Oreochromis niloticus: one gene and its partners. The main gene of each other region encodes a partner of the protein of the gene in region 3 in a complex. Links are inferred from orthologs where the notes say so. Each region holds a gene or a part of one and is shown on either strand. Other genes may lie near its edges.

What was found.
Region 1: the proteins of keap1b (region 3) and nfe2l2a are in contact, whole or in part, in a crystal structure (PDB 3WN7), measured with the Mus musculus proteins. The link is inferred for Oreochromis niloticus from reciprocal best matches to the Homo sapiens genes KEAP1 and NFE2L2. Residues at the interface, in NP_001103775.1 of Mus musculus: Tyr334, Ser363, Gly364, Arg380, Asn382, Pro384, Asp385, Gly386, Asn387, Asn414, Arg415, Ser431, Gly433, Cys434, His436, Ile461, Phe478, Gly480, Arg483, Ser508, Gly509, Tyr525, Gln530, Ser555, Ala556, Tyr572, Phe577, Ser602, Gly603; in NP_035032.1 of Mus musculus: Leu19, Ile22, Leu23, Arg25, Gln26, Asp27, Ile28, Asp29, Leu30, Gly31, Val32, Val36, Phe37, Phe39.
Region 2: the proteins of keap1b (region 3) and fbxl17 are in contact, whole or in part, in a crystal structure (PDB 6W66), measured with the Homo sapiens proteins. The link is inferred for Oreochromis niloticus from reciprocal best matches to the Homo sapiens genes KEAP1 and FBXL17. Residues at the interface, in NP_036421.2 of Homo sapiens: His59, Thr60, Ala63, Ile66, Met67, Glu69, Leu70, Gln75, Leu76, Gln82, Lys84, Ala90, His96, Val98, Ala101, Ser102, Ser103, Ser104, Pro105, Val106, Lys108, Ala109, Met110, Thr112, Asn113, Gly114, Val122, Ser124, Glu126, Gln163; in NP_001156787.2 of Homo sapiens: Asp395, Arg397, Arg421, Lys423, Asn447, Gln473, Tyr475, Met524, Arg548, Asn572, Cys574, Leu575, Trp577, Glu596, Tyr598, Val600, Ser601, Asp623, Trp626, Lys628, Tyr647, Met651, Arg652, Val676, Leu677, Asp679, Cys680, Thr683, Leu684, Arg686.
Region 4: the proteins of keap1b (region 3) and ptmab are in contact, whole or in part, in a crystal structure (PDB 2Z32), measured with the Mus musculus proteins. The link is inferred for Oreochromis niloticus from reciprocal best matches to the Homo sapiens genes KEAP1 and PTMA. Residues at the interface, in NP_001103775.1 of Mus musculus: Tyr334, Ser363, Arg380, Asn382, Arg415, Phe478, Arg483, Ser508, Gly509, Tyr525, Gln530, Ser555, Ala556, Tyr572, Gly574, Phe577, Ser602; in NP_032998.1 of Mus musculus: Gln40, Asn41, Glu42, Glu43, Asn44, Gly45, Glu46, Gln47.

What each region holds. Positions count from the first base shown.
Region 1 is NC_031987.2:17,010,837-17,018,544, reverse strand, and holds the start of nfe2l2a (nuclear factor erythroid 2-related factor 2a), read left to right. Parts: upstream 1-4,614; 5' UTR 4,615-4,781; coding exon 4,782-4,817; intron 4,818-7,708.
Region 2 is NC_031977.2:23,971,717-23,979,223, forward strand, and holds the start of fbxl17 (F-box/LRR-repeat protein 17), read right to left. Parts: upstream 3,093-7,507; 5' UTR 2,874-3,092; intron 1,121-2,873; 5' UTR 1,101-1,120; coding exon 624-1,100; intron 212-623; coding exon 1-211. Other genes in the region: prxl2c (thioredoxin-like protein AAED1), read left to right, coding at 4,696-4,878, 5,193-5,261, 5,428-5,481, 6,562-6,667, 6,757-6,891, 7,057-7,187. UniProt on the Homo sapiens protein: Substrate-recognition component of the SCF(FBXL17) E3 ubiquitin ligase complex, a key component of a quality control pathway required to ensure functional dimerization of BTB domain-containing proteins (dimerization quality control, DQC).
Region 3 is NC_031971.2:24,647,224-24,654,592, forward strand, and holds the start of keap1b (kelch-like ECH-associated protein 1B), read right to left. Parts: upstream 3,146-7,369; 5' UTR 3,001-3,145; intron 1-3,000. Other genes in the region: s1pr5b (sphingosine 1-phosphate receptor 5b), read right to left, coding at 6,883-7,369. UniProt on the Homo sapiens protein: Substrate-specific adapter of a BCR (BTB-CUL3-RBX1) E3 ubiquitin ligase complex that regulates the response to oxidative stress by targeting NFE2L2/NRF2 for ubiquitination.
Region 4 is NC_031982.2:35,431,487-35,439,833, forward strand, and holds the start of ptmab (prothymosin alpha-B), read right to left. Parts: upstream 3,137-8,347; 5' UTR 3,018-3,136; coding exon 2,973-3,017; intron 862-2,972; coding exon 796-861; intron 718-795; coding exon 633-717; intron 546-632; coding exon 460-545; intron 359-459; coding exon 314-358; 3' UTR 1-313.

The DNA of each region.
Region 1 (7,708 bases), on a different chromosome or scaffold from region 3:
TGTTTGTACAGGGAGGGAGCAGATCCGCGAGCTCCTGTCAGAGGTCAGAGCAGGGAAAGTGTGGCACATTCAATGCCTGTAGGAAATAACAAACCCCCACACGCGAGTGTTAAATGTAATGTTAGGATTTTAAAGCATACAATATAAAATAAATGTTGTTATTTTGGGTACATTAAATTGTTATCAGACACTGGGCTAGTTTATACCTGAAAACGGTAAGTCGATTAAGAAAAGCATAGGTCAGAGCATTATTTAAGGTTATTTTGAAGATATTTAAACTTGGACAGGTTCTAGCTTCTCAATTTAAGCATTTTGCGTTTTTAAAGATGTTTTAGACGTTTAGACGTTTATCTTTTGGAACATAGATTAACATAGATTAAGGATTTTCCGCATTTTAGGACCCAAGAAAAGAAAACTGTTCACGGTTGTAGGTGATCGGGATTGTACTTGTGCCTACAATCTCCATAAGTTTCATACTATAAATAAGTGAATGACAATATTTTATGTATTTATTTTATTAATCAACCTTTAAACGAACCGTTGACATCAATGCAATGCTCCCATTTCATTCTGAAAGGAGTTAACGAGAAGCGTTTGAATGCACCATTTAACGCGTTTCCCAGCATGCATTGCAACATTAGCATAGACTGTAAAGGGCTGGTTGCATATGTTCCACTTACTGCTGAGACATCTTTTATATGGCTTAGCCCAGTATACAGTCTGTGCCTAAGATAGTAAATGCAATTAGTAAATTATATAAAACAACGGTAACCCTTCTGTTTGGAATATTAAAGAGTTTATCGGATTTATAAAGAATCACTTATACCCTACATTAAACACCATTTTGACACAAATGCATGAAAGTGAACAGTGGAAACATACAATTCAGCAAGTCTGTAAGTTAAGTATCAGAATTTTTTAATTGTCTCATTTTTAGCCAGATATATGTAGGACGAATCCAAATTTAAAAATGTAAACTAATCCTAGAACATCTGTAATGATTTACCTTTACTACAGCTGCATCGTCACCTGGTCAAAATTGCTCATGTGTGCACTTTTTTTTGATGTGGTTGTAAAAACAGAGTAACTTGAAACAGTCAACACTGTTTACCTTTCTGCTTCACCTCCACTCAGTCACCTGACCAGCGTGACTACCACTTCCATATGGTCCACATGGCTGCTTTTAAAGTAATGATTTGACACAAAACGACAGCAAATACACCACAAGCAACATTATTGTGAAGTACAATTCAATCAGGATTAAAGTACTGAAGGAAAGAGACTGTAAAAAATGGATTAAAATAGAAACTTTATTTTAGACAACATTTGCCAACAGAAACAATGAGACATTCTGTAAACTAAAATGTCCAGATGTTTGAGGTTTTATTTCCAAATGGTTAAAGTATTAACTTCCAAAACAAAGTTCTGTAATGCACTGACTGCGGGCAGTTAGAGTCTAAGTGTATCACAGAACTTTATTTGGAAAGCCACAGTGCCACCTCATAGGTTTGTCCTTGTGTGGAACCTTATCCTCCTCATGACTGGGTGCTCCTTCAACCTGCAGCAAGGCACAAAAGCAAGGGAAAACAAGACAGCCATGTTGTATTATCTTTTTTTTAATTTTCACTATACTGACTCCACTAAAAAAATATAACAGAAAACAGCTCAAAAAGGCAGAGCTAAGATCTAAATGTGTTAAGGACGGGCCTGAAGAAAGGCGAGCTGTTTGGTGGTTCCTCCCTAGAGTCACACAGGTATATAGCAGGCCAGGTGGTGTCTTTTTACACGCTGCTAGCAATACAGAAATGATTAAAGACCTAAATAATATTTGGGTGTGTGCAAAAGTTGATCCTGCAGTACACCCTCCTCAAAAATGGTTCTTGAGTGTATTTACTTACCTCTTTAGTCTTGCCCATCTGGTTGCTTGCAAAGGTTACATTTTAAGTCTACGCTGGCTGGCATATTTTAAGTTTTACAGTCTTGCTGCTACCTTTTTGAAAGGATTACTTCACTTCAAGTACCACAGGGCATAAATGACTACCTGTTGAGCTTTAACAACTTTCTGAATTAAACAGGCCCTTGAGAATAACCCATTTACAAAAGAGTGATATGATAGCAATGAGGAAAGTTCAGAAGGCCAGCTGAGCTCCAGGAGTATTGAGTTCTAACAGTTTGAATGTAGTTGGAAACTTGGCACTTCATCAGCAACCAAATGACAGCAACTTCAGAAGTGCAGAAATAACGTTCAAAATCAACACTGCAACGTGTCAACCGGAATCTTAACGATTATTTCTTTAAGAAGTACGATTTTAAAGGCAAAGTGAGCTTTGCAAGTCATACTGTACCTGATATAGGTAGACACAAGGGACCAGCTGCAATCCAACACGAGGGGAAAACAGTCTAGATCATAAAACGCAAAAGATGAAAGCGAACTGAGGACTTTGCACGCCACGGATAGATTCACATTGCAAACGCCTGTTTTCACTGCAGTTGATGTCCATCGGCGGACTTGCAGCGCTCTAATCGTAAGGTGGCCGCCGCCGCTTTTACCTTTTCTTCCCCCAGTGCTGTGCAGTTCACTATATGCAGCTGGAAGAATGTCGACGTGGAGCTGCCAAACGTGAACGCGTATTCAGGAGCGCGCACGAGAGGCAAAAATAGGCTTTTTTAGTGTAATTTCACGCAGTGGCACAGCGAGCTGCACTTTAGTGCGAGACGCCTCACAGATGGGTGCTACAACCGGGAACAAGCCTGTCTTATTACACGGGCATATCTGAAAAGCCACTTAATGGCACCTCGGTTTCGAATTCTTACTAACGCCGAGGTTTCAGAATGATTCAAATGTGATTAAGAATGAGGGTTTTTCTTTGGGTTATCCTCCTCTTAATTTTCTTAAATGGGCGAATCTCAGATCGACTGCTACAACGTTTATTACATACCTGTGCTCTCCACCAGTGTGGAGAGAAGATTTATATCCTTTAGCCTACTTAGGAAGTGGAAAAGTAATAATAAATCATAACCCACATTCCAATTTTTGGAAAGGTCCGAGGAATTACCAACAACATTTAGCTGAATGAAAAGTAGTGCTTATGGAGAATGTCCTCTTTCATACTCTTAACTTGTTAATGGATATAATTTGCTGTTAAAATAGTATTTTAATGTTCTAGTTTGTCAAGGTGGATCAATGTTTCATGTTGTTATTAATGTTAATAATCTACAGCACATGTGGTGAAAGAAATTATTAGACTGTACCTTAATAAAACGCTGCTATAAAACACAGCAATATGACCCAGAGTGATCCAATATCCTTATGGTTTAGGATATTATACTATTACTACTATTGATTAACTAGTGGCTATCTATCTATCTATCTATCTATCTATCTATCTATCTATCTATCTATCTATCTATCTATCTATCTATCGTAGAAGTACTAAATAGCATAAAATGCTTAAAAACTACTGCAATATATACTATAATATGGTAATTGCCCAGTAAATCGAGTAAAAACCTGCATATTTCCTTACAAAATGTACTGAAATGTGCAGTATTTCGGTAAGCTTAGCAACTTTTGGCTAAATAATAACAATATTAATATAACCTAAGCAACTTTTCTACACTCTACACTCTACAGTAACTTCATATATGTACCAGTTCTGAAGAATAGCCTTTACTGCATTATAATGGTTAAAATTTTAATATTTTTTTCTCCACTACATAAAACAAACATATATATCGATAATGGAAAGGAGTTACAGATCTGCAAATCTTTGAGATTCCTTACTTAGACGTTTTAGATCATTACGTCAGTTTTGTTTAATTTTATGAGAAATAGTGTAACAGGGAATAATTTAGCTTGTAGCACATTTAGTTAACCCACTGTAATGATTCATTACTTGACAGATGAAGATTTTCCAATTAGAACACCCAGTGAATTATGGCAGAGTCTGACTCCCACACCCTCAACCTCCTCCCAAAAGATGTTAGTAATAGTTCCACCCATTTGAACTAGTATCTCTTATGCGCCTACCTCCCTTCCAAAAACAAACAGACAAATAAACAAACAAACAAAACCTAACAGAGGTCATTCTGCACTGGGGCTTTTAACACATATTGGTATTTTGCCGCGAACAGGTCTGAGCTTCAAAGTAAAACTTTAAATGCAGGACTGTAACTTTAAACTGGGTGTTCTGTTTCTCTCTTTATGATTCTGTGATGGTCTACCCAGCTGCACAAGGAACATCAGGGCCCCAGGGTCTCCAGCTCCACGCCGGTCACGGTCACCAGCAGGGGGAGGTATGCACCAAACAAAGTCTGGTCATGTCCGTGACGGAGTTAAAATAGAAGGTACACATTATATATATTTCTTTTATGAGCTGGCTTATATAACGCTGACTATAAACGAAGGTATTACATGTTGCAATTTACGTATTGGTTAAAGTATCATAAAACCTTTAACTTTCACATAAATATATTGTGTAATTTTTTTTGCGTGGCAACTATTGTGTTAAATGGACTCCATGCGCATGCACACACAGTCCTTATCGCCAGCCCTCATAGGCCACCGCGAGGGGGACGATCCCGGTGGGGAGGGCCATCATTTCCGTAATGCTCATTAGGTTTGGAGGAAGCAGCACTTCTCGCCGCTCAGCTCCCGTGACGGACTATATCGCCTCCAGACCGCTCGCCATTTTTATATCCAATTTTAAGGAATAACACACAAATTTTTCAGTCATAAGGAGTTTTTTTTTTTTTTCAAAACCTCACGACAGAGCTCCATAATGATGGAAATGGAGGTGATGCATTCCGGTCAACAGGTAAATAGAGTATTTCTCAAAAGTGATCGCTAGAAAAGAGTAGACAAACTATCTGACATTGACTGTCAACTTCCTTTTTTAATGCGGGCTATTAGAGAGATAGACTTTATTTAAACTTTTATTTATCAGTTATCATAAATTACAGCTAAATTACAGTACTAGTGTATTTACGCCGGTGTTACAGACGTTATAGCGTTAAAAGTGTGAGGTAGACTACGCCGACAGGCTGTCTTAGAGTTAGACATGTTAACTCTCTTTCAGTTCTGCAAGTCATCCACTAGTGACGCTTTTCCTGGACAGGAAAAAAGTCCCCATTAACAGAACAGGTTCAGATATTAGTGTTGTGATCAATTGCCCAAATAAAATAACAGGTTCTTTTTATCTTGGCAAGTTAGACAAACAGAACCTGGACTCTGTTGAAGCTTTTGCCGTAACTGTGTCATCATCTCCCCCTGTCCACCCCGCCCTCCTCCTCAAAGCATGTGATCCCATATCTGATAGCTTTTATAACCACCATGAATGATTTCTTTTACTGCTGCCTATGTCTTTGCTGCGTGTTTTACAGAGTTAATAAAAAAGGACCAACTATTAGACTAGACCTGTTTTCCTAGCTGTTTTATACAGTGAATGAAAACACTGAACTTGGTTGAACTTTATTTTTTCCTGTGACATGCCCTCGGATCTTCAGTGTTTCGCTAAGCTTGTCATAGGTAAGGGTCAGTGGAAGTACAGAGTTGACTGATGAGGGCCCAAATGGCTGTGCAGCTGTGTTTCATCATCCACAGTTGAGATTGGATGTCCACTGAATGGTGTTGAGGAAAGGCATGATACAACAGCAGGTTCTGGTCCCTCTTTCGGGCCCTGGGGTTTAACCGTAAATAAGTAAATGAACAACCAACACTAAAGGATTGTTGTTAGGTTTAATATGTATCTCTGGTAACTGTCGTTCTGAAGGCTCTGTGTGTGAAAGCTTCTTTGACTGGTATACACTTGTTGTCTGGCATCAAGGTGCAGGAAGTAGTTTTCTCAGCCTTTTTTTCCTCTCTTGTTCTGGTGCCAGTCCATGTCTTCTGACAGGTGATAGTGACACCATTACTTAAGCACGCCCACACTCACAGAGCCCAGTTGTCATTAATACAGAATGTGCTGTTTATAAAGCTGCATTATAACAACAGGCTAATTTAACAACCACACTGAAATCACTGACTGACAACAGGCTGTTTTTTGGCCTTGCGGTGGTTGTTTTTTCTAAAGGACTGGTGTGACTTGTCTGATGAGCTTATTAGGTGTGACCAACAGACAAGAGTGTTTTTTTCTTTTTTCTTTCTTTTCTTCTTTTTTTGTTTGTTAGAAAACATCAGCAACCTCAAGAAGTGAGTTTAGACATCCCACACAGACATTTTAAGGGACTTCCTCATTCCTGTACAAACCATAATGTCTAGTTGTGTGCTCACCTTCCAACCAGCGAGCAGCCTTAGTAATGTGTAATCCTTTAGTGGTCATACCTCTGATGCAACACAGAGGCAAAGAGGGTTAGTGGGTTCTTTTTTTTTTCTTCAGCACCACAGCTGTAGTCAGGAAAATGGTGTCAACAATGGCTTAAAGTATTTATAGATGCCCATATGCCATTATTATTAGTTTGCAGAGGCTTGTGACTCATCCTGTTTTTATTAAAAAAAAAACAAAAAAACAAGTGAAGAAAACATTATCTGACAGGGTTTTTCTAAACAGTTCCACATCCTCCTTATTGTACATTGTTCTGCTTTGTTCTTTATTCTCCCTCAGTTCCCTCTTGGTTTTCTCTAGGCTCTCTCTCTCTTTTTTTTTTGTATTATAAACCCAAGCTCATAAGTAATGTTTACACCCAAATCTGAGGAACAAACAAGTCACATGCTCAGAGTTTTTTTTTGTGTAAACCAGTATCGCGGGTTTATGTAACATCCTTGGGCCTTGTGAAACACTTTCCTTCTGTAAATAAATTCTGCTAAAAGCCCAGAGAAGGGGCCAGCATAATTTATCTTCAGACATTCTTGTTTAAAAAGGCAAATAACAATCAGCAGCTTAGGGGAAATCTACAGGAAATGGTACTAAAATGTCATCACATGCTCTGCCTAATGTGTAAATATATGTAGGACAAGACTATTGTTGTGCTCAGATAATTTAGTAGTACTTGTAATAGTTCACTTAAATACCTAGTGAGGGTGAAATTGAGGAAATAAGCATTTTAATTTCACTCAGTATGACATCTATGACCTCATAATATGATTAGGTACAAAGGTAGGTTGTAACCGCAGACCTTTCTGAAACCTTACGCTGTAGCCTTTGCCGTAACCGGAGCGCCTTCAAAGAAATGTAGCTATAGGTTGCCATCAATACAGCCGTTGCCATATACACCCAGGTATAAATGCAACACCATTATAGATTTACCGCATAATCATAAGTGACGAATTACAGTGCCAGTTTTACTGTTCTTTGTTTATATGTTTATATGTTCTTCACCAACCATAATACTGTATACTTAAACCACCTAAACACATACATTTAATGGCCACATTTTCTAAATGGTGTAATATGTGTGAACTTACTTGAATCTGAACTTCAAGTACTAGCTAAAAAACGATCCCTGACTGTGTGCGAGTCTGAATACGACAAACAAATTCACACTTCTGCGTAACTGGATAAGCTGTGACTACTTCCCTTCACTGGAAAAAGTATCAAATGAGGATATGTGTCTTTTGCTGGTGTGTGGTGACAACAGAGGAAGGAGAGAAATGCGTCCATTATTCATGCAGTTTCTGTCCCTTGACATTAGTGCCTGTGTTGTTGTCGGTGATCAGATACTGAGGGACAGGGTGTGGCAGGTGCAACAGTCACGCTTCGCAGCAGGGACG
Region 2 (7,507 bases), on a different chromosome or scaffold from region 3:
AGCCATCAGCAGGTGAGGAAGAAGAGGAAGCAGAGGAGGAAGAGGAGGAGGGAAGCGGGCAAAGGGGAAGGTGGCAGTGGCCCGTTTCAGAGTTCGAGGCCGCCTCCCCCCCACCTCCATTCTCCAGCCCTCCATCAGGAGCAGCGAAGGCACAGCGCGGCTGCTTACAAGGGGTGCACCTTTGCACCTCTGAGCACTTCCTCTTACACACCTGCAATCGGACACACACACACACACACACACACACACAGAGGTCACTTGGTATCAGATTTTCAGGCAGATTTAGTTACAATTACAGACAGAAATTTATGAGAACAACACCCCTGAGTTTGGATCCTCAATAAGAACAAAATAAAAGAAGGACTAGAAAGAATACAGCTTTGACTTAAGAGATATTTAAGGACAAAGAAAAGTCAAAGTTTACCTTTCTAACTGCATAATATCATTTTTTAAGCAAGTTTAAAGCACCTATAAACATTTCTCATGTGTAATCTGTAGCTTATAGCCCTGTTACTAAAAACGTTGAGGCACTGTTAAATGTAAATAAATATCCAATACAGTTATTTGAAACTTATTAAAAGCCTATATTAATTAGGAATTAATGCTCCGAACCGGATGCCTACCATCTCTGTGTAATCGCTGGTGCAGCCAGGCACAGGCACAGGTATGGGCACAGTCACAGACACACCAGCGGTACGGAAGAGGGCCGGTGGTGGAATTAGTTTGGCAGGAACAGCTGACAAAAGGCTCCTCCCCTGGCCCTCCCAGATAGCAAGTTCCCTCGGTGACAACAAGAACTTGGAGCAATCCTCCGGAGATGCGAGAGTTGCGTATCGCTCCGCAAGCTTCGTGGCAGCTGCCGCTCCGATGCCGACTCCGCCAACACCTGGGACGCTGATTCCCGTGATGCTGTTGTGTCGACACCCGTTGGCCTCGAAGTGGTCGCTCTCGTCGTCGAAACCACCGCTGTTGCCGTGGACGATAAAGCAGAGCATGCAGGGCCCGTGCAGAAAACAGTTCCTCTTCTTCTTCTTCCTGTGATGCAACTTGCGTGTCCTCTTCTTCAGGCGATAACCATTTTTCGAAAAAAGATGGCCCATATAGATGATTCAAGGAAACTCTGGAACAACAGAAAAAAATGATTGGAAATATATATATTATATGTTTCAGCACTAACAGGAGGCCGAGCTGAAGGTGACAGAGTGGAAGATGCTCAGATTTTCATTGGCAGTGACCAGGATGAACAAGATTACAAATCAGCATATCAGAAGGTCAGCTCAAGGCAAGCAGTTTGGAGGCAAAGTTAGAGAAGCAAGGCTGAGATGGTTTGGACATGTGCAGCACAGGGTTAGTGGATATAATGGACAAAAGATGTTAAATATGGAGCTGCCAGGCAGGAGGAAAAGAGAAAGACCTCAGAGGAGGTTGATGGGTGTCGTGAACAAGGCTGTTGTGAGAGCGAAGGATGCTAGTTTATTATGATATGAAAATTCTATGAAAGTTGAGTGTTAAGACTTGGCGTCAAAAAATACACAATGCAGAAAAAAACTATTCAATGAAAAAAGAACTTGATAGTTTCCATCCTCAGTACTACGAATTTATTGTAGTCATTACATAAAAATAGCTTAGGCTAATTATTTAGCCCCTGTATAATTAAGAGAACAAAAGATATCCTTTCTTTTCCTTAAAATGACTATTCAAAACATTGCTGTACATATAATACTTTTAATACAATTTTATGAGTAAAGATGTATCTCATCAATTTACAGAAAATGTCTTTTTGCTAACAATGTTTTGCCCCGCATAAATAAAATAATATGGGAAAATTGCAGGATCACTAACAGCTATCATTATCATTATCTCCTTTTTTAATGAGGCTTTTTTCGTGCTTTATTAAGCCTGTCATTTTATTAGCTTCTTTAATGTTCCTCTTTTCCCTAAAGGCAAAGTCAACATGAACCTTTAGTAGGAAAATCTAATGCCCATCCTTCAAAGCTGCAATGTTTTCAAGGCTGTTTTTCATAGCTGCAGTGAAAGAATGCTTAACAAAAGATGGGAACTTTACAAGATAACGCTAGAGTTGTCTGACACACACACGGGGTGGAGAGTGAGATTAACTTAATCTGGAAGTAAGGATGCATTTGTGATCATGGTGGGCTCGTGTAAATAACAGCACGTGAGCACAGATTTCCACACAAAAAGAAAAGAAAAATCTGAGCCTGATCCTGTATGTCAACAACAATCAGGACAGTCCTTTCTGCTGACACAGACATGACGATGGACAAGACTCACAGCAACCACATGTGTCATTAAACTCAGCACCGGAGAGCCCAACAACACAGTACTGCAATGAAATACTGATGTTATTTGTTAAAAACACTCACAATTTAAGAGTAAAGCCTAAATCTCAGCGCAGCACACAACAAAGAGCAGCAAGCTTTGCACCCGTGCTTCCCTACGATGGAAAAGATTCAGACGTGGACGCTGTGCATAATTTGAAAAATGTTTTGGGGGTTTGGGGTTGTTTCTGTTTTGTTTGGTTTTTAATGATCCATATTTGTTGAGGACGTGAAAAATCTCGTCGGATAACTGCAGCGGTGCAGCACCGGTTGGTGGCTGCTGAATCAAAACACAGAGATGTAAACAGTGAACAGGTGGTCATTTGTTTAGCATGTAGAAACGCCAAAGCAGACTTAACGTGACACCTGCGGTTTGCCTGGAATTGCCGCACATTTGTCTTCAACATTCACACGAACTTAACGTTGTTTTTGAGGGAAAGAAAGACGAGATTGCTTCGCAGTTTTCTGTCAGGCTAGCCTGCTCCATCCCCAGATGCTAAGTTAGCTATAGCCCCAAAAGCAATCATCTCTCACCACTTCACACGGTGCTCCCACACTCCGCACTGCGCTCGCATAATACTGCTAAGCTCCACGGTCAAGATGAACGGTGACGAGCCCCGACAGGAGAGACGCGGGCGCAGGAAAACCGGCCACTAAATCGCCGTTCTGCTCTTCCAAAACAGTAGCAGCTCTGGTTGTACCTCTGCTGCTGCTGCTGTTGCTCTTGAGGACAGCACTTCCGCACCGAGAGGGCAGCGGGAAGGAAGCCGACGAGGGCGATTCGTAATTCGCCATCAATGAAAATCCTGTTCCCAGGATTTGGGGGATAGAGAAGAACCAATCATGGGATTGATTTTTTGTTGTTGTTGTTGTTGTTTAATGATAAGTAAATACAGCCTTGAAAACTGACTTAGAAAACACAGGGTCAAAATATTAAGCTATTGTCTCCTAATGGGAATCATTTTGTATCGTGTTTAGATTATTTATTTAAACAAAAGTAGCAAACTTTTAATTTATTAACCATAGGAAAACTGGACAACCGCCCCAAAATAAGCTACTGACAGTGGTTGCTACAGAAAACACTACCTACCTTATAAATTTCTAGTCTTAACACCTTTACTCTTGCAGTTAATTTATTTACTGGTCTTCCTCTTCCCTGACAGCTACACATTTAGCACCTTTTGTCCACTACCGCTCCTCTTCAAATGTCCAAACCACCTCAGCCTTGCCTGTCTAAATCATCAAGCACTGGATATGAGCAGTCCCTCTGGTGCACTAATTTCTAATCCTGTCCATTCTGGTCACTCCCAAAAAATAATCAGATTTTATTCGTGAACATAATAGTTGATATTGTAAATGAAGTAGCTCCACCTGTAGGTTTGGTTGTACTGAAGCTGCCAAGTGTCTACACACGCTGCATATTATGCGAATTCAAAGAATGCATCCAACATAAAACAAGCATAAAATATAGACATACTGCCAAAATAAATCAAAGTTAATCAGAAGTTCATTTCATTTATTTAAATATTCATGTAACTCATTGTTTATATTCCAAACGTTTCATGCATTAAACACATCAAGTAGACCACCAAGCACTATTAGACTAAAGTATGAAATGTAAAACTTAAAAGTCACAAATAGGATAAAATCTACAGTTGTATGTAACTTAACTGGGTTTTCTGCAGCAACTACAGTATACTGCAGCCAACTTGGTCTTGCGCGGAGCTCAGAAAAAAAAAAACACTTTGGGGAGAGAGAATCAGGGCATAAAATTATAATTTATAAACATAACACAGAATGAGAGACTGTTAACGACAATATACATAGCACATGTAATTGTCTACAGTACCGAACTGTACAGTACGTCTACTGCATAAAATTAATATATATATAGAGAGAGAGAGAGAGAGAGATAATAATCTGGATGTACAGTTCAAACTGTCCTTCATTGTAAATTCCCATGGCAATGTTGTTCACTGAAATATGAGCTGAAATATATATAAATAAATGTTGCTAACTGTTATTGTGAAGTCACAGCGTGCGCACTGACGCACTGACGCACCGGTCAGTTTCTGTTTGTATTGCCTTGTTTATACACTAAATCCGGAGAGTAAGATAATATTAACCATTGGTTAAACATTGCAATGTTTAACCAATGGTTAACCAATGGTTAAACATTGCAATGTTTAACCAATGAATATGTGTTGGCCGTCTGTCTTCGTTCTCCTAGAGAGAGAGCGAGAGAGAGAGAGAGGGAGCATATGGGCGTGAATTTTCCAGGCACCAGCTCCTCCAGGCTGAATGGCAACTCCCAAAATAGCAGCACTGCGAATTCTGGATCCTCTGAGGAAAAAAAATGGCTGAAGTAGTTTCACCAATAACTCGACAAGTAACTAAAGGAAGCCAGGAAAATGTGACCTGTTTTGTGGATATTAATCTCAGAGACGTCGAAGACTGTTTAATTTACGACCGGCATGGAGTTTCTATTCCGTTCAAGACCCTATACCAAGACAGGAAATCGGTCATAATTTTTGTGCGGGTAGGGAAAACTTCATTTGGCTTAACTTTGCTGATGAGTTATGGGTTCGCATAAGCACCCTCCCTTAAGTTGCGCTTTTAAATGGGTCTTGATAGGCTTCAAAGTAGGTACCAGGTGAGCCCAGGTGTAGCTGGCCAGATGCTCCAAGAATTTCCTGTGCTATGTTGGAAATGGACGAATGAAGAGATCGTTCTCCATAGGTGAAGCCAGAGGGATACATGTTATATAGGCGCAAGATGTGAATTTTTAAATGCAGTGATCTCTCTCTCATCACTACAGCCTTTTAACATTTTATTTAATATGTGTCCCTGCAGAATTTCTTGTGCTACAGCTGTAAAGAGTATGTTGATGATTTGGGAAAAATACCCAGAGAAGTACTGGAGGTAAGTCTTGTTTAGTAAGGACCAGTGCACTCGAGGCTGTGAAAACAAAGAGCATAGCTGCGACACTGGCAGCAAAGGTGCTCGGTTAAAACAATAGGAGGTCTGATGAGTATTAACATAAATAATTGATCATGACAAATCCAAAATTCCGTGTGTGTTGTTGCAGGATGCTGAAATTAGACTGGTCGTGATCGGTCAGTCTGCTTATCATCACATAGAGGTAATTATTTTGTTATATATACACTCACTGGACACTTTGTTAGGACACCTGTTCAGCTGCTTGTTAAAGCAAATACCTGATCAGCCAACCACATGGCAGCAACTCAGTGCATTTATGCATGCAGACATGGTCAAAACAACTCGCTGAAGTTTTGAAGAAAGGTGATTTAATTGAGTCTGGTTTTGACATGTGGGCGCTCTATTGGAATTTTGCCACAGTGCTATCTCTAAGGTTTACAGAGAATGGTTGAAAAAAAAGGGGAAAATATCCAGTGAGCACCAGTTGTCTGTGTGAAAAGTAAGAGGAGAATGTCCAGACTGCTTCGAGCTGATAAGAAGGCACGAGTAACTGAAATAACCACTTGTTAGAACCAAAATATGCAAAAGACCACACCTAGAGCCACTCCTGTCAGCTAAGTACAGGAAACTGAGGCTGCAGTTTGCACAGGCTCACCAAAATTGGACAATAGAGGTCTGGAAAAATGCATTCTGGTCTCATGAGTCTCCAGTTCTGCTTCAACATTCAGATGATAGGATCTGAAGTAAAAAAAGAATGAAAGCGTGGATTGATTCTGAACTGTTCAGGCTGCTGGTGGTATAATGGTGGAGGGCATATTTTCTTGGTACACCTTGGGCCACTTGGAACCAATTGAGTGTGATTTAAACTCCACAACCTTCCCGAGTATTGATCCCGACCACGTCCATCCCTTTCTGACTACAGTATTTGCATCTTCTGATGGCTATTTCCAGCAGGATAACACATCAAATCATCAATAATCAAAACTAGTTCAAGGAAGAGAAAGAATTCACTATTCACTATATAAGAATTTCCACTACTACAATCCAGTAGAACGTCTTTGGCATAATGGATGTGCAGCCATCAAAGCTGCACCAACTGTGTGATGCTATCAGTTCAATATGAACCAAAATCTCTGTTGAATGTATGCCACAAAGAATTAAGGTCTAACTCAGTACTTGCGAGTGGTACCTATTACAGTGTCTGATGAGTGTATATAAATATCACAGCAGGCACTATAGTTTTCCAGACAAATGTACTCTTTCTCCTTGTTCTGTCATGTAGTCGTTCTGCTTGCTCACGGGGTATCCTTATGAAATATATGTGGACCCAGGGAGGCGCATTTACCAAAAGCTGGGGATGAAGAGAGAGGAGACATTCACAGACTCTGGTATGCAAAAACACTATTGGAGTGTATGAGTAAGCTTATTTTGAGATGATAATGAAACTTCGTCTTTGTATCTGTGTTTGTGAACTCAGCGCAGCCTAGTCCCCATGTGAAGTCTGGCATTTTTATGGGCCAAATCAAGACTATATGGAGAGCCATGACTAGTCCTGCATTTGATTTTCAGGGTGACCTACATCAACAAGGTGGAGCCATCATTGCAGGACCTGGTAAGTTGGTCTCGCTCTCTCTCTCTCTCCCTATACACACACACACACACACACACACACACACACACATATATATGTATATATATATATATGATGTTATGTGTTAATGTTGGCACTGCATTATATCTTTTTTCCTCACACTCACTGTTTTCTCCCTCTCTACAGGCTCTAAAGTTCATTTTTCCCATCTTGACATGAACCGCCTGGACCACATGCCCATTAACTGGCTCCTTCAGCTTGCAGGAGCTCAGCAAACGATTGACTTCAGCCATAAGCCGAAAATCATTCACATCTAGTTAGGTGCCTGCCTGAAAGTGTGTTTCATCCCACGTCACTGCTGTAATCACACATGGAGTCTATATACAATCAGCTCCAAACTCTAAGATGACTAAATGAGTTTCTGTTGCTTCTTTTTTTCATTTGAATTCAACTTGATTGACAAATAGTACATTACAATGACTTTATCAGCTTAACACACCCCTCTCTGCTCTTCCCTCAACTGTCTTGGCTTTAATAACATCACTCAAACTGAAAGTGCACGCGGCAAGTTTGTGCAGAAACCGATAAGGCATGTTTTCCTGGTACGATCTGAAAGTGTTCCAAACATCTTCTTGAG
Region 3 (7,369 bases):
CTCTCTATCAGTTGCTACTACTGATGCACGGATGCAGTTTTTGTTTTGTTTTTTTACCCCAGTTCTGATACAACACAATTACCTCAACTCAACATACAATAAGGTATGCGTTGGTACTGGGTACCAATCCAGGAATGGTGTTTATTTAATACGCTGTATTTGAGCAACGAGAAATAGCCGGGAAATCATTCATTTATCAGGCTTGACTTAAACATTGCTTTACTAATTCTGTGTGCAATCCAAGACAATTTAAAAAACAAAGGAAGTACTACATGGCTGTAAGGGCTTATCTAACAGGTGCTCTTCAGTAGGGCAGATGCAAACTCAGTATCAAAGAAGGATCACTGAAGCAGTCCAGCTTCCCTGATGAAGACAGAGTCGATTTACAGTCCCATCTTTCACAGTCATGATAGTTTCTCCTTATCTGGCATGTCTTCACACACAGGTAGTGTGCACAGCTGATAAAAGACAGGGTGAAGTGAATATTGATTGAGTTAGCGTTAAAACTCCAAACACGCAAAGAAAAACTGTTGGTGAGGAACTCAAGTGCCTGCAATCCTACTTATTACTTTCACTACTTTTAAAAGTAAAAAATGTCCACCTAGAGAGCCTAACAATATAAGCAAAACAGCAAGTAACTAAGTGTGTAAGCAGCAGCAAGGGAGTGCTGCTCATTTTGAAGGACAACGCTGTGACTTAAATTAGGCTTTAATTTAACAGGCCAGCATGACTAAGTGTGCTCTTGCTATGCCCTGTTGCCAATCCACTGGGGGCTTGAACAGAGGGAACAGTTTGTTCAACCAACAGCAGAATCCAAGTACATCCATTGCAGCATCTTCCAGACATGTTTAAACCAAATTAGGCTAAGAAACAAAACAATCTTTTAATCAGAGTCAAGAGGTACTTTTATCGGAGTAATCCAGGAGGAGGAGAGGGCTCTGGCTCTGCAGACTGGCTTACAAACAAATACTTCTACAGGGAATATGTGGGATCAGAGCCACTACGTTGAACCCATTAAGTTGAAAATTTAATGCCTTCCTTTTCATTCGAATCCCACTTCTTCTTTTCAGAATATGAACTGCCTGCAACAGTGACGTACAATACAAGAAACATGTGGTTAATGTCCGTTTGGAGCGCTCTGATCAGGAAGGGTCTGAATTACTCAGCAACAATGCTGCTGTGAGGGTTCAGTTATATAACAAAGCACCTGTAAGTTGTGTATACACACCCACACGCACACTGATCGTTATGTGAAGCATTGATAAAAGGACGCAAAGCAAAAGGCCAGTTTATATGGCCTTGTAGCTTTCCAATCTGCAAGTAGGTTACAGTGTTCTTTGCAATCATTAAAGATTAAGGGGAAAAAAAAAACAAAAAACAAACTAAGTTTGAGTGTTATTCATTTTACCAACAGATGGGGACACGTCAGTGGCCATGATGGAACTCGTCATGAGGAAGTCAGCCAGTTAAGCTCGCTGTAACATGAAACACTCTGCGATTCACATTTACTGCTGTGCCTCCCCCCTTCCAGGATTCTGGGTGAAATAGTTTCACAGGAGAACATATTGCTCAACTCGCCCACTTTCCACAGCAGACAGAAACGACTCACTGACAAACAAGCTCTCCAAGTCCCACGCTCTACCTGCTGCATTTCTCTGACATTTCATCAATAATAAAAACATGTTTTTAGGTATGATGAATGCGACAGGTATAACTGGGTCCAAGCCACTCTAAAGATAGTATCTGTTGTTGAATCAATCAATGGATGAATCAGCTGACAAACACTGCATGTATTGTGATAGCATTTATTAAGACATTTTATAACCTACGCATGTGGGAGATCCTGAAATTTTACATGCCATAAGTCAACGACTCCTAGCAAACATCTGCAGGGTTTTCCTCCTCTAGCATGAGAAAACTTGTTCATTACAGGTTGTAGAAGTGAAATTAAACTGTCACTCAACGGTGACACTAAACAAGGAAGTTTCAAGGAGTTGGCAGCAGTAAATCCTTACAAAAGGACGAGCTCAAAAAGGAAACTGAAAATATGCAGTATGCATCTTTAAAAGATGAACGTGAACGATAAACCAGCGATTTATGCTGATGCTGCTAAAAAAAAATCTTCCACTGCGACCCTAATCTTGACAAGAAAGTTGGCTCATCAATAGCCACAGTCATAAAGATGCACACTCACCCCTGACAGAGACCCTGCACGTCGGTTTGCGTGCCACCCTTCAGGCCTACCTACAGGTCTTGGGTGTCTTACAACAACTGGAGGGACTCTACAAGTTTAACAGTTTGATCTGAGCTACACCTACAGCTGTGTCAGCGATTTTTATTTTGTTTTGTACTACAGAGCCAGCAAACGCCATCGAGACAGGAGTGAAACAAACACAAGTACAGAGTCCAGCGCGTTTCTCGGGCATTTTGGCAACCAGCTTTCCTCGGTGACTCATCGTGAACTCTTCACCGAGCAAACAGTGGAACTGGATGTACCAAAACATGACCCAGAAGTGAAGCCAGTCCCTTACATAAACCATGATGGACTTGGATTTCCGCGCCATTTACCTGACATGAAGAGCACACAAAAAGCCATCGTGTGTCCTCTACGAGGACCATTTCTGAGCTTGCGTTTGTCAAAAAAATAAATAAATAATCCACAGACCTGGCATGCAAAGGTAGAACAGAGCAAGCAAAATCGGCTGCTAAAGGTTTCTGGTGGGTTTGCAAAGACGGTGAACTCAGAAGGTCTCACGATGAAAGAGCCGTAATCCCCCTCAAAACAACAAGTCAAACGTTTCGGAAACAGAGCTGACAGCAAAATAGGCTCCTAATAATAGACAGCAGAGTAACGGCTGTGAGCCGACCTCGCAACAAACGTGCTAACAAAGCGGTATCAAAATATATTCTTGCTAACACACCCGCACAAAATCTAAACATGTCCAAACAACTGACATTAATCACTAATGGCTCCTTAAATTTGGAATAACAGAGAATTACCGTAGTCTAGAACAATTCCTCCATCGCGGTCTGCCGAGCTGCGAACCACACAGAAAGGAGGAGAAAGCTGTAACTCAGCGTGACTAAGCATTGTACCGGCCTCATCTCGCCTTCACAATAAGAGCTCGCCACTAAAGCGTTGGCCCGCCTCTGTTTATTACTAATGGCAGACAAACGTGTCCCGTGGGAGGGGGCTTTTATTGAGAAGGAATTCTTAAAACGAAGGAAAAGCTGGGCCAATTTTTGGCAGGGAGCCAAAAACTGCAGCTTTAACGTCAATCAAAATTTGACACAAATACCATATAAAGGATAAAACTGCAAAACAGGTACTTCTTCTAGCAACTTAAAATGGGATCTAATTATGAGAAAATAACTGCAATAATGCAGTAACACTGCTTTAAAACTGTGTGAGTAATTGTTGAAACGCCAGCAGGAAATTACTAAACTGGCATTGTTTAACGATCACTATGTTGCTCAGACATAATGGTGTGTGCTCTAGAGACATGGTTATAATGTTACTGCAGTTCTGCCTTAAAACATGAATGACTCCTACATAGCACAGGAGCTTGGGAGGAATCTGTTTGCAGTGCTGACACACCACTAAGGGGGTTTTCCCCCTCCTTCTTCCAAAACACGTAATTCAGGTCACAGAATTTGATGTTCTGCTTAAAAGCCAAAAGGTGGCACCAAAAGCTAACTGTGAGACTGCAAGCGTAAACACTCACTTTTGAGTTTAATCCCGTGGAATGAGCTGCCATAATATAACCAAGACATTTAAGCCCTGTTGCTCTGCAACCACAGTTCACAGCCCATTACACCAAGCACCCCATGATAAGATTCCATCTATACACCTTAAAGTTGAAAGGACTGGCAAATCCTAGATATGAAATGACAAGTCATGATGCATACACCACTTAGAGTTCCCCCAAGACTCTGCTGTGTGTCTGTGTAAAGATCCAATCAGAGGAAAAGGCTGAAGTAAGCCTTGAGGCACCAAACTGCTCTTCTAGATGGATGCTTCCTATACACTGATCGTACAAAGGTAGGTTAAGACTGCACCCACATTTGTACTACCAGTTCCTCAGCTCTGTCATTTCCCAAATTCTGCTAGAGCAAGGAAAAGTACAGTTTTTTTATTTGTGGCTGTGGCATCAAGGGACTATCAATGGTCATAACTTGTAACAGTTGAGTTCATTATAGCAGAACAGAAGCCAGAGTACAGGAAAGATTCTCTGACTTGTCGACCTCTGCCAGGAGGCACAGTTCTCATGGATAAAGCAAACATCTGGAGGACCACCTGCACTGTACAAATCATATAAGAGGTATTCTAGCACCATGAGGCAGGGCTTATGTCTCTAGGCCACAGAAAGTAAAAATCACAGGAAAATATCTGCTATCTATCACACTAAGCATGCTTTGCGTTGTTGACATTTTTTTAACAGTGGCCTGACAAAAAAAACATGTGAAAAATAAGTGAAGAACTTAACAGCTTCTTTTAGCTTCATGCAAATCAACCAACAGTCTTTACCAGAATTGAATGTTAGCATTAAAAATCATGTCTTCATAACTGTAACTTTGGCAGTATTATAAGACAAATTTAGACATAAATGCAGGCACTGAATACAGTTTTCTTTCTATAGGAGCTAAATTAGCTGGATTCATAACAGCTGTGTAATTTTTCTTTATTTTAACTATAGTTGATGTGGAGGGCCAGTTCACAGGAAAAACAAATCAAACAAAACAAAACCTTGGTGTTCAGTGTTTATTAAAAGTTACATTGGGTACACTATTACACTTGGTGTGCTGGGCATTATTGACAGTTTATTTCTAACAGTGGTGTGACATTTAAAAAAAACCCTGAAAACCACTTACCAACTTCTTCTATTTATAAGTCACTGGTCATGACTTCTAACTTTTAACAGTTGAGTCTGCTGCAGCAAAAAGCAAGGTGGAGCACAGGACAGCTCTGCCAAATGCCGGGAAGAGGGGGTTATGGTTGACTACAGAATGCCTTTAGGGCAAAGACAGTTAAAATCACACGGAAAAATCTGCTGTCTGTCACACTAGACGTGCTTTGCATTATTGACATTTTTTTAACGGTGGCCTGACAAAACAAAAATCAACAAGAACTGAAAAGCAGCTTCTTTTTGTTTTCTGCAAATCAACCAATATATTGTAGCTTAACTGGATACATAACAGCTGTGTAATTTCTCTAAATTTTAACTATGACTGGCATTGTGGAGGCCGGATCAGTGTGAGGTGATAGTAACTTGTAACCACTGGTTAAGAAGTATTTACTAAAAGAGGCATTGTGTGGAGGTTAAGCCACTCAGAAACAGGCAAAAGTTGATGTATATAGGTCAATGCCATTACCAGATGTGAGATGAGGGAGGCTGACTTCCTGTGATACTTCTTTGCTTAACCACAGCTACACTAACACAATAATACACACTGATGCACTTAAGAATGCTGCAGGGCACTAACAGTGAAAATAAATTGAAACCCCATTGGAATGTTTTAGAGAAACACTTTATTTCTTTTATGAAAAGAAACACAAATTTTGCTAACGTTTTCTTGTTACAAAATATATATAATTTACAATAGAGATATAAAAAATATGCTCACAAATACATCAAGTTCACTACATACATTTTAGTACAAAAAAAACCACAACCTCATTTAATCAATTAAAGTCTTGAATGACGTAAGAAAAAAAATCATTCAGTACCTTTAACTGAAATGTTCTGTTAACTTGATGAACAATGAAAGGAAGCACTGAAACAATTGCTTGGTAAATTTATACCAGTTCAGCATGATCTGTAACTTACAAAGGCAGAAATATTTTTATCCATAAAACTTGTGATGCAGCTGAATGAACTTCTTTTTAAGGTCGTCTTCTTCACAAGCTGGAATGTAAAGCCTTGACGTGATGCAACTGCAGCTGATTTGGTTTCAGTTGGAGTTAAGCTGTCAGCCAGTGGAAAGTAAACATTACTTGTAACATTATCTTTCAGTTAATCCGATGCTAAGTATGATGACATTTTGTAAATGCAGCAGTTTTTACTGTAGATGTCAGGTTGACATTTCAAAAAAACTGGACACGACCCCAACAACTTTCCACGTCTACCGCAGATAGGTTAACCACCTGTCATTTCAAAACTGTTAGGGGGTTTTAATGCTGCACCTCCTCTCCCACATAATTTATTTGCATACAGCATTCAGCAATTTCAAGAAGGGTGCCACCTTTTTCCTGTTAACTTAATTCCTTTGCATCACGTACACAGATACGTGTAGGGTAACCAAACATCTACCCATGCAAATCTAGCACACAATCAGTCTTCGAACCAGCGAAATCCAGGTGTCTGCAGATTACACGCTGTAACTGTTAGGAGTTTTTATTCTGACTTTAAGGCACTTAAGAAACTGCAAGATGAGAAACGTTAGCCTCCATATTATTCCAGCAAGTACATAGTTTTCAGTCTTTCACTCTTTGAGTTTACAGAAGCGTCCTTCTAAGCTTCACACAAAATACAGAAGCCCAGAAAAAATTGAGTCCAAGGTTGCATATGTCAGTGCAAATTAATAAAGAAGACGTATTGCTAGCATCATATACATAAAAAACATTGCTTGTTCACATTTGAATTGCATCCTTTGCTCTCTGGTTTGGTATGCTTCATCAAAATGAAATTTGGTGATTCAGTTATATTGCCATAACTGCGCCACACTGTCAAAGATGAGTCATCGTCTTTTATACGCCCCCTTTTTATGGCTCTTTGAAAAAAACAAACAAAACAGAACTGTCTCTCAATAGTGGATGCGCTACATATCCTCTATTCAGCGGGAAACCCATTTACACATTTTGGACACAGTCAGTCAAAGTCTTTATGACTTGAAAAGTTTGGGGTATAGGGCTTTAACTGGAGATGGAGTGGTGATGACGTTTCCAGATGAAATAGTTGTCTCCAGACCCGGTTCTAACTTCTGGGAGGGCACCTCAGTTTTACTGAAACTGCACTCCAGGAACGGCATCCCAATCTTCTTCACCTGCCCATCTGAGGTCATTAGACATGGCCGACAGAGGAGCCTCAGAATGGCTCTCCTCATGTCCTTACTGGTCAGTGTGTAGATGATGGGGTTGAGGAGCGAGTTGATAATGGCTACTCCCAGGAAGTACTCAGCCTTGTAGAGCACGGGGCATCCGCGGGTGGGGCAGGAAAAATCTATCAGGAGGAGAATGAAAAGGGGCAGCCAACAGGCGATGAAGACTCCCAATACAATGGTGACTGTCTTGAGGAGAGCAATGTACTTCTCTGACTTCCTAGCTAAGCCCTTCCTTATGCTGCCTGACAAGCCGAGCCGCTGGCGCTGT
Region 4 (8,347 bases), on a different chromosome or scaffold from region 3:
ATAAAATGTAAATAAAAATACAAACAAATTCTCCTTTTGTGTTGTTGCTGAAGAGAAGCCGGATTTCTGCGTTGTCGATGCGGTGGCGGGTTCCTCTAGAAAATTCGTCTCGCAGCGTTGAGGGGAGCTCGGGTGAGTGTGGACGTGGCGGGTGTTTGTTGAACTCTACTTGCTAATGACCATGTTGGATTTTTTTATTATTATTATTTTTTCCTTTAAATCAGTCCTCCAGCCCCTCCACCTGCGACATAGAAAAACGGTCAGAGGTGAAGAATCAGGAAGTGGTTCAGCAGGATGGCGCGGGGGAAACGCATCAATCGTCATCGTCGGTTTTCTGCTTCTTGGTTTCGACGTCGTCCTGAAAGAAGACAAGAAGAAGACGGTGGCGGGTTAGACCGGCGCCTGCTGGGTGTCATGGCACCGCTCGTTTTAAGGGCGTCTTAGGCGCTGCTGCCTCACCTCATCGTCGTCCTCGTCATCCTCAGCTGCCCGTTTTGTGCCACCCTCAATCTCGTCTTCATCCTCCTCCTCATCTTCCTCATCACCTACAGGACAAAAGTTGAAAGGTGAAAATTTTTAGACTCTAACAGGAGTTTATTATTTTTTAAAAGGCAAATAAGCCTTCAAGCTACCTTCTCCATCATCTTCCTCTTCTTCCTCGTCCACCTCCTCGTCCTCCTCGTCATCTACCTCGGGCTCACCGTTCTCCTCATTCTCCTGGAAAACACAAAAATGGTTAAAAATGTCCACCTCTGTGCACAGAGTTGCTGCTGTGGCGGCGGTGATGGCACTCACCTTTCCGTTGGTGGCGGCGTCTTTGCCGTTCTCCTTCTCCTCCACCAGCTTCTTCTCTTTCAGGTCCTGAAAACAAATAAAAGCAAACATCAGAAACTGAACCTGCTCATCTGCCCACCGAAACGCGCTGCTGGGTTTAGACTCCGCCCACCGCTGCTACCTGCCCCTCTACCTACTGGCCTACTTAGCAGCGTCCCAGTGCTTGCTGGGAGCTGCACGTTTTTCAGCCTTCCTATTTAAACACCATATTGGCCTCTGCAGATCCTCCCCCCATCTCCTTCCTCTCCTCCCACTCCATCCCCTCTAATGTGTTGTAATCTGATACTTTGATGTGGCCCGCGGGGCATTCTGGGTATTGTAGTCTTCTATGGGCCGCTGTCGCTGCCATATGTCACGAGACACGCCCGGGAGAAGCACTGCAATACCCAGGATGCACCCCGTTTAAAATAACACAGGAGGGCGCAGGAGCAGGGAGGGAGCAGGAGGAGGGGTCGATGATGGAGGAGGAGGAGGCGGCGGAGAGAGCGCGATGCACGCTGCTGCTGCTGCTCGTTGTAACGGAGGCAGGAAAGGACAATAGAAGACGACACATGGCAAGCGAGCGAAGCGAAGACACGGCACCTTCCGCCTCCGTGCTCGAGCTCAGCGCGCACTAACGCCGCTCCTCTTCCTCGTTTTGTTCCCCCACAGCCCATTATCCCCGCCGCACGCGCGCCTCACGCATCCACACGTAGGCTGTTATTGATTAATTGCTCTCCATAATCTTATTGGTTGAAATCCATTAAGCTGTTAAGCGGCAGGAGGAGAGCAGGCTGCCCGCGCGCTGCGCGTAAAAACGCGCTTGTGCGTAAAAACGCTCCACAACTAAAAATAGTGAACAGGCTCCCCGGATTACCCGCGCTAATGCCTGTCCAACTTTTCCCCTCTCCACCCCCTCCACCTTTACCACCTCCTCCAAATGGACATTTCTTATAATCGCTCAGAATTATTGAGAATTATTCTCGGGATGATCGCGGTCCGCGGAGCCACGACTCCCCCCGCGGGGGCGATTAAACTTTTACCCGATCTGATCCAAAGTCCACGCGCACAAAAACTCGCGTTTTCACAACAAAAGCAGCTCAAACGTGTAAACGGAGGAAAACCCGCAGAAAGAGGGGAAAACCAGCAGCGTCACATCACACCTCCACAGCCCGGCCACGCGCGCGCACGCGAGCACACACACACACACACACACACACACACAGGGAGAAAGAAGTGTCTGCATTACAAAAAAAAGAAAGAAAAGTTTCCCGTGAGACCGAAGCGCGCCCTGCAAACAAACCCCGAAAACACCAAAGCAAAGCGGAAGCCCCGGGCTCATAGCCGCTCACGCGCTCCGGGAGCGGAGACCGGAGCAGCTCAGGCTGGAGCAGCGGCGGCCGCCGACCTTCCGGAGTCGGTAAACAAACGGGGTCGGACGGTGCAGGCAGGCCGGTGGCTTTAACAAACGGGCTCACGGAAATAAGAAATAAAAAAGGCGGGAGGAAAAGTGCAGAACCGAAAGTTCACCGGAGGACTGCGCACCGCCTGACGCGCTGTCCTCCATTCAAACGGAGCAAACCCCAGGCTGGAGGTCCGCGTCCACGCATCCACCGGCCGCTGAGTGTGTCACCGCTCCCGGTAATGCGACCCGACCGAGTCCCTGCACCGGGAGCGGAACCTCCCCTCGATCTAATCCGCGTTAAGAGCCCGAGATGCGGGATAAATATGCGCGGCGCCCCGGCGCTCACAACGAGTCCGAAAACCCCGCGGGGAGCGAGCCGGGGGACCGGAGCTGCTCGGTGTCCGGGTCTCGCTTGGAGGTGTGCGTGCCGGCAGGAGAACAGAGCTGCTCGCAGAAACAAAGACCCGCGCAGACCAGGACTCTCCGGACAATGAGCCGCGGCGCTTTAACGCTGCCCGTGTCCGTGATGCGGTGCCGAGACCCCCCACTTCCCTCTACACACCGAGTTCAGGGGCAAAGAGGCGAACACCGGCTTTTCTTCTCCTCCTCCTCCTCCTCAGACTCCACAAAGTCCGAGCGAGCGCGAAGCAACGACGGAGAGGTTTTAAATGTAGGTTAGAGCCTGGAGAGCTTTATTCTTGTAAGGGGCTCCGCGGAGACACGGCCCCGCGAATGGAGGTGTGCGGCAGCTTACCTTGGCAGAGATATCCGAGCCGGAGTCGACCTGTGTGTCTGCCATTGTTTAGTAGAATAAAATAAAGGACGGCTGAAATGAAAGGTTGAATAAAGTAAATCCCCTCGTCTCAGTTAGCGGATCAATCAGTATTATATTGTGCCAGTGGCCAACGCTTCTGACGGCCGAGCCTTTAATATAGGCTTGTGGGCGGGGTCTTCATGAGGTCGGTGGTCTCTGATTGGCCAGGGGCTCGACAGAGGCGTTCTCCTAGCGCGTCGAGTAACAATGGATAGAATTTCTTAACCTAAAGGCCACGCCCCCTCCTATTCTACCGCTGCAACCGTCCCTTTCTCCCCTAAAACAATAATCCGAGTCGATAAAAGCCCACAAAACGGACCGGAGCCGGAACCGTGGCAGCTCCACAGCACCGTGAGCGCGAGAAAATCGAGTTTCCATCGAGTTACGCAGTAAATATGTCGAATCGAGAGCGCTTCGGTTGACGTAGTGTCAGTTTGATTGATTGATGTGCGTCTGGACGAGTCAAGCGGCGACTTCAGACGGTTTCTCCCGCCCACCGCCGCGACGGGGGAATAGAGGCGAAGTGTTTGGGAGGGAAACGTGGACGACACGGATGTTATCACGGATTAAATCGGGCTTTTCTACGCAAACGTTAGTGTCACATCTCAGGCTCCATGTGAACAACATCAGTCAGATAAAAGGCGCTAACAGTGTAAATGTGGAGCGGCGCCGCCATGTCACATCGCAGCTCTTCGTCGCCCCGCCCCTTCCCGACGTCCATGTTTGAAACTCATCCCTGTATGTGCGCACTTGACACTCTTGAGGGCTTTTTTTTTTTTTTTACATAACAGCCCATAAATTCGTGCGCCAAGGTCGAGACACAAATAAACACTGTACCCGTCGAACAACACACACACAGCCGGCTCTGACGCCGTGAGTCGGGCTGTTCGGGCTCAGTGAGCGGGTGCAGTGAACAGTGCTGGTGGCCTCATTTCCTCCGCCTCCATTGTTAGAACCCACAGAGAAATGCCCCGCCGTGGAGGAGGGAAAAAAGCAGTGCGACATAAAAGACATGCGATGAGACAAGTGCGGAAAATAATTATAATGTGCTCATGAACTGACGCGCATTCTTATGAAACACAAGGGCAAACACGTATTTTCCTTACCGACTTTTGTACACATGGCTTTTACAAGCTGAACTGAGAAGGACAAAGCGGCACGCAAAAAGGCAGCCGCTATTGCTCAGTGGAGATGGGGGATGGGAGCAGAGTGTGCTCCGATAACAGGCAGCCCACATTCACATTCTACTTTGATGACGCACTTGCCCGCAGAGGACGGCTCTGATTGGTCGGTTAAGTGGAATAAACACAGCTTTGGCGCACGGCAGGCGCTGATTGGTTATCGCCAACGTCCGTCAATTCAAAACTAGGCTCAGTCGGCTGACGGTAAAGAGCGGGCCCGGATGCTGGATCCGGACTGTGCTTCCATCAGTGTAGAGTTTCAGTTCTGTCTTTGACATGTTTGATTTCCCAGTTGTTGCCTTTTAGTTTTAGCGCCACGATCTCTGAGAGACACACTCATTATGCTTAATTGTTTGGAAAAGCCGGGCTCTTCATATTTCATTAGGCTGTATTATAAAATATTTAAACAGGTATCAGAGAGAGCAGATGGAGGCGGTGATCCTTCAACAGAACCAAACTCTGTCTCCCTGCTGCATCCATCTAACCACGTTTTGAGTGTGTGGAAAAAATGAATTTACTGACACGCACCCGCAGCGTGTCCACCTGTTTATGTGGTGATTTTGAATTTGTGTATTAAAGCTGCTGTGCCCAACTTTTATACTGTGCATTACAGTCATATACTGAATAAAGATGATGGATGTAGCTAATGTGATGAGCCATCCCTTACTGAATCGTCCAGAAGCGTCTTGGTGTTGAAACCGGACGAGAAACTCGATACTGCCAGGAGTTGTAAGTCACATGCACAATCGTACCCTGAGTCATTGTCATTTTTGACTCTAGCAGAGATTGTTATTTAAAAAGGAACATTATATGGTATTGATTGCGACTATAGACCCATCAGGAAAGTCTTTAATGAGGTCATGGATTGGGGGAGCCAAAGGTCAATGTCTCATAGGCTCCTATACAACTAAACCAGCCAGAGGAGTCGCCCCCTGCTGGCCATTGTGTAAGAAAAAGGTACTTTTCAGAACTTAAGAAGCTATGTCCGAATTTTAACCTTGCAGGTAAATCTCTGTATTTTCGGGCTTAGGCTGCGTTAAATCTGGTTTCCATGGTAACGCCAGATGTAAAACACAACAGCAAAGTAAAGAAGCTCCCAAGAAAAGTTCCTGATGATTCTGAAGACACAAATCTTTCACAGGAACTATTACAGTCTAAAACAAGTGAAAAAAATCATCCTATGTGTCGAATCGAGAGCGCTGTGTGACCTCAGTAAACGCTATCATCAACAGTTTGTGGTCTCACTCGTGTGTTTTAAGTCTAATCAAATTCCATCAGTTCCCAGAAGCACAGTAAAGCTGGGTGTGATCGACAAGTCGCTAGCCTATAAGCATCCTGTATCCCTCTAACATGACATCTTCTTTCAGTAAGATAAGATGATGATGGTCAATGGGCTCAGCTTCAGCCTTTACAAACTAACAGGTGACATCACAATGGCTACGTCCATCATTTATTCATCATGTGACCATCGGCTATGTTAGAACAGAAACTAGCAGAGATGGTGTATTTCCATCAGGTTTGAACTTCTTTTAAAGAGGTCCTCTTTTTCTTAAAACATGAACTACACCCCAATGAAAAAATGACTATTAAAATCATAAAACCAGACGCAGTTTCCCAAAAAGAAATGTAAATGTAGAGTTAACAAATCACAAAAATGCATGTGGCTTGTAGATGTGCATTACTGCCTGCATCACGGCTCACCATAACCAAACTGCAGACAAGACTGATGATGTCATCTAAACATCTGTGTTTCTGGTGTGTTTGACACATTGGAAACCCAAAGAAGGCCTAAATGGTTTCTTAAAATAAACAAAGTAAGACAATTAATTAATTATAAGCAGAAAAGAGTAACAGAGTTGGCCAGTCGGGTTCAGTACTGATTTGGTGCACCAGAACCTGACTGTCGGTCCATCTCCGAGTACCAAAACAAATCTATGAGCCAAGGTTGGATTAACGGCTGTGCAGAGCAGTCAGCTTCCTCTGGCCTCCAAAGCTCTGAGTTTGCGGCGTGTCAATTGGTTGTAGATAATTTGATTAACCGCAGATTTGTCGAGGAATTTGAACCACAGAACATCAGTATCAGCTGAGACAGGTACTTAATGCTGAGGATCTGTTCTGGAGAAGCAAAAGAAAGACTGCTGTTAGTTTAGTTTTATTCAGTGATAAATAACACACTTTGGTTCTCAGGTTGGTCGGACCATGCTGGGTGTCAGCTGGTCCTCCTTTGCCATTACACAGCTGAGCATGCCGCCGCTCAGAGCTCACAGTTGGTAAGGTTCAGGGATTTATTTAATCAGTAGATGCCAGAATAGCTCCATGCTAACACTGGAGTTTAATGTACATTTTAGATTTCAGAAATAAAAACTACACGAAGCACATGCAGTCTCACTTTATTCACTGAAGCAGCCGCTGCTACATGATTATCGTCACCCTGCAGCAGCGAGTGCAGTCACATAAACTGGTCACTGATGCAAATCAGCTGCGGACGCAGACAATAACTCTGTTCACGGACAGCTGCGTCTTCTGATACACTCCCAGTGTGTGTGGTGGGAAACCGCTTCAGGCTGTAACAATTATCATATGAAAAATGTCCAGTTATACATTTAAAAACATTTGAGACGTGACTTTAAATTTAAAAGCAGAGACAGGAACTTTAGTGTGCAGATCATCTTCATTCACATAAAACCAGGACAAACAGATTCAGGGATAGCTTCTTTCCCAGAGCTGTCGCCGTAGTAAATAAGCACAAAAACAATTGAAACTGCTTAGCTACACGATACTGTCACCGTCATTTATTATGCTGCTATCCATACTGTCATTATTATTAATGCTGCTATCCTGTATATATCGTACTTACTAGTGTTTGTTTTATTGTACCTTTTATATTTTACATTTATATTTATTATTGTATTTTTGCACCAAGGGAGTGGCACTCCAATTTCGTTGTACCCTGTACAATGACAATAAAGGCTATTCTATTCTATTCTATTCTATTCTATTCTATTCTATTCTATTCTATTCTATTCTATTCTATTCTATCTTTATTGAGCTCTAAAAAGAAAACAATCCAGTTATTGCTACAGTATTAAACTGCGGGTCATACCAACTGGGAATATGTCGACTTATTTAAATGTTATATAGAATTTATGTGAACATTTCTTTTATATTGGGGATATTTTCATATTACTAACATAAAATAATCTTGTTTCCATGAAGTTATCGAGTCCCAGAACCTGGAGTTCCTTTAACGGCCACTCGAGGCTCCAGCAGTGAGTCCGTCCCCATAGTTAAAATATCCAAATGTGCAGCTGGAATAAACATGTTTACAGCCTGGTACAAAAACTGTTTTGGTCTCTATAGAAAATGTAAACTTTTAAAACAACTGTATGGAGTTTATTTTTTATATAACTCTGTGTTAAGACTTAAAGCTAAATGTAGCATATTTAGCTGCTTTGGTTAATGGAACTACATTTAAGGGGTGTCCAAATTCATAGGCTGCATCCTCCTGAGGACCTGGCCTCCACGGTCTGCGTGGGCTGGGTCCTCCGAGGGCCGGGTAGGCCGGAAGTGAACATCTGTGAAATTGGACGGTCTAGCCTTCAGTTTTGCGTCACCAGCTGTCTCGGTCTTCATCTTGATAAACCGAGCAGATATTTGAAGTTTGCACAGCTACATTCTCGCCTGAAAATATCTTAAAAGCTTATTTTGTGACCCAGAAAGATTAATAAGAGTAATATTAAAACTCAGTAGCTTCCGCTATTGTTGGAAACTGGAATTGGCTGGGCCGCGCTATGAATGCTGGGATATGGTGGGCCACGAAGGATACACCCGACCCATCCTTCAAATTCGGGGATAGGACGCATCGGAGGAGTCTTCAAATTTGGACAGCGTTCGGCTCATCGCTGTGACCTAATCGGTCAGGAGGATGCAGCCCATGAATTTGGACACACCCCTAGTCTCTCTGATGCTTCAGATGACGTTACTCTACAAGCTACAGTTACCTTCTTCAGACACACTCTATGATGTGGATTTTCACTGTTTATTTAACTTCATGTAGAATCATCAGCTAACATAACCAGTAAGTGTTTGTAGTGTGAGAGCTGAACAGGCAAGTGTCAGCTGACTTGGAGAATA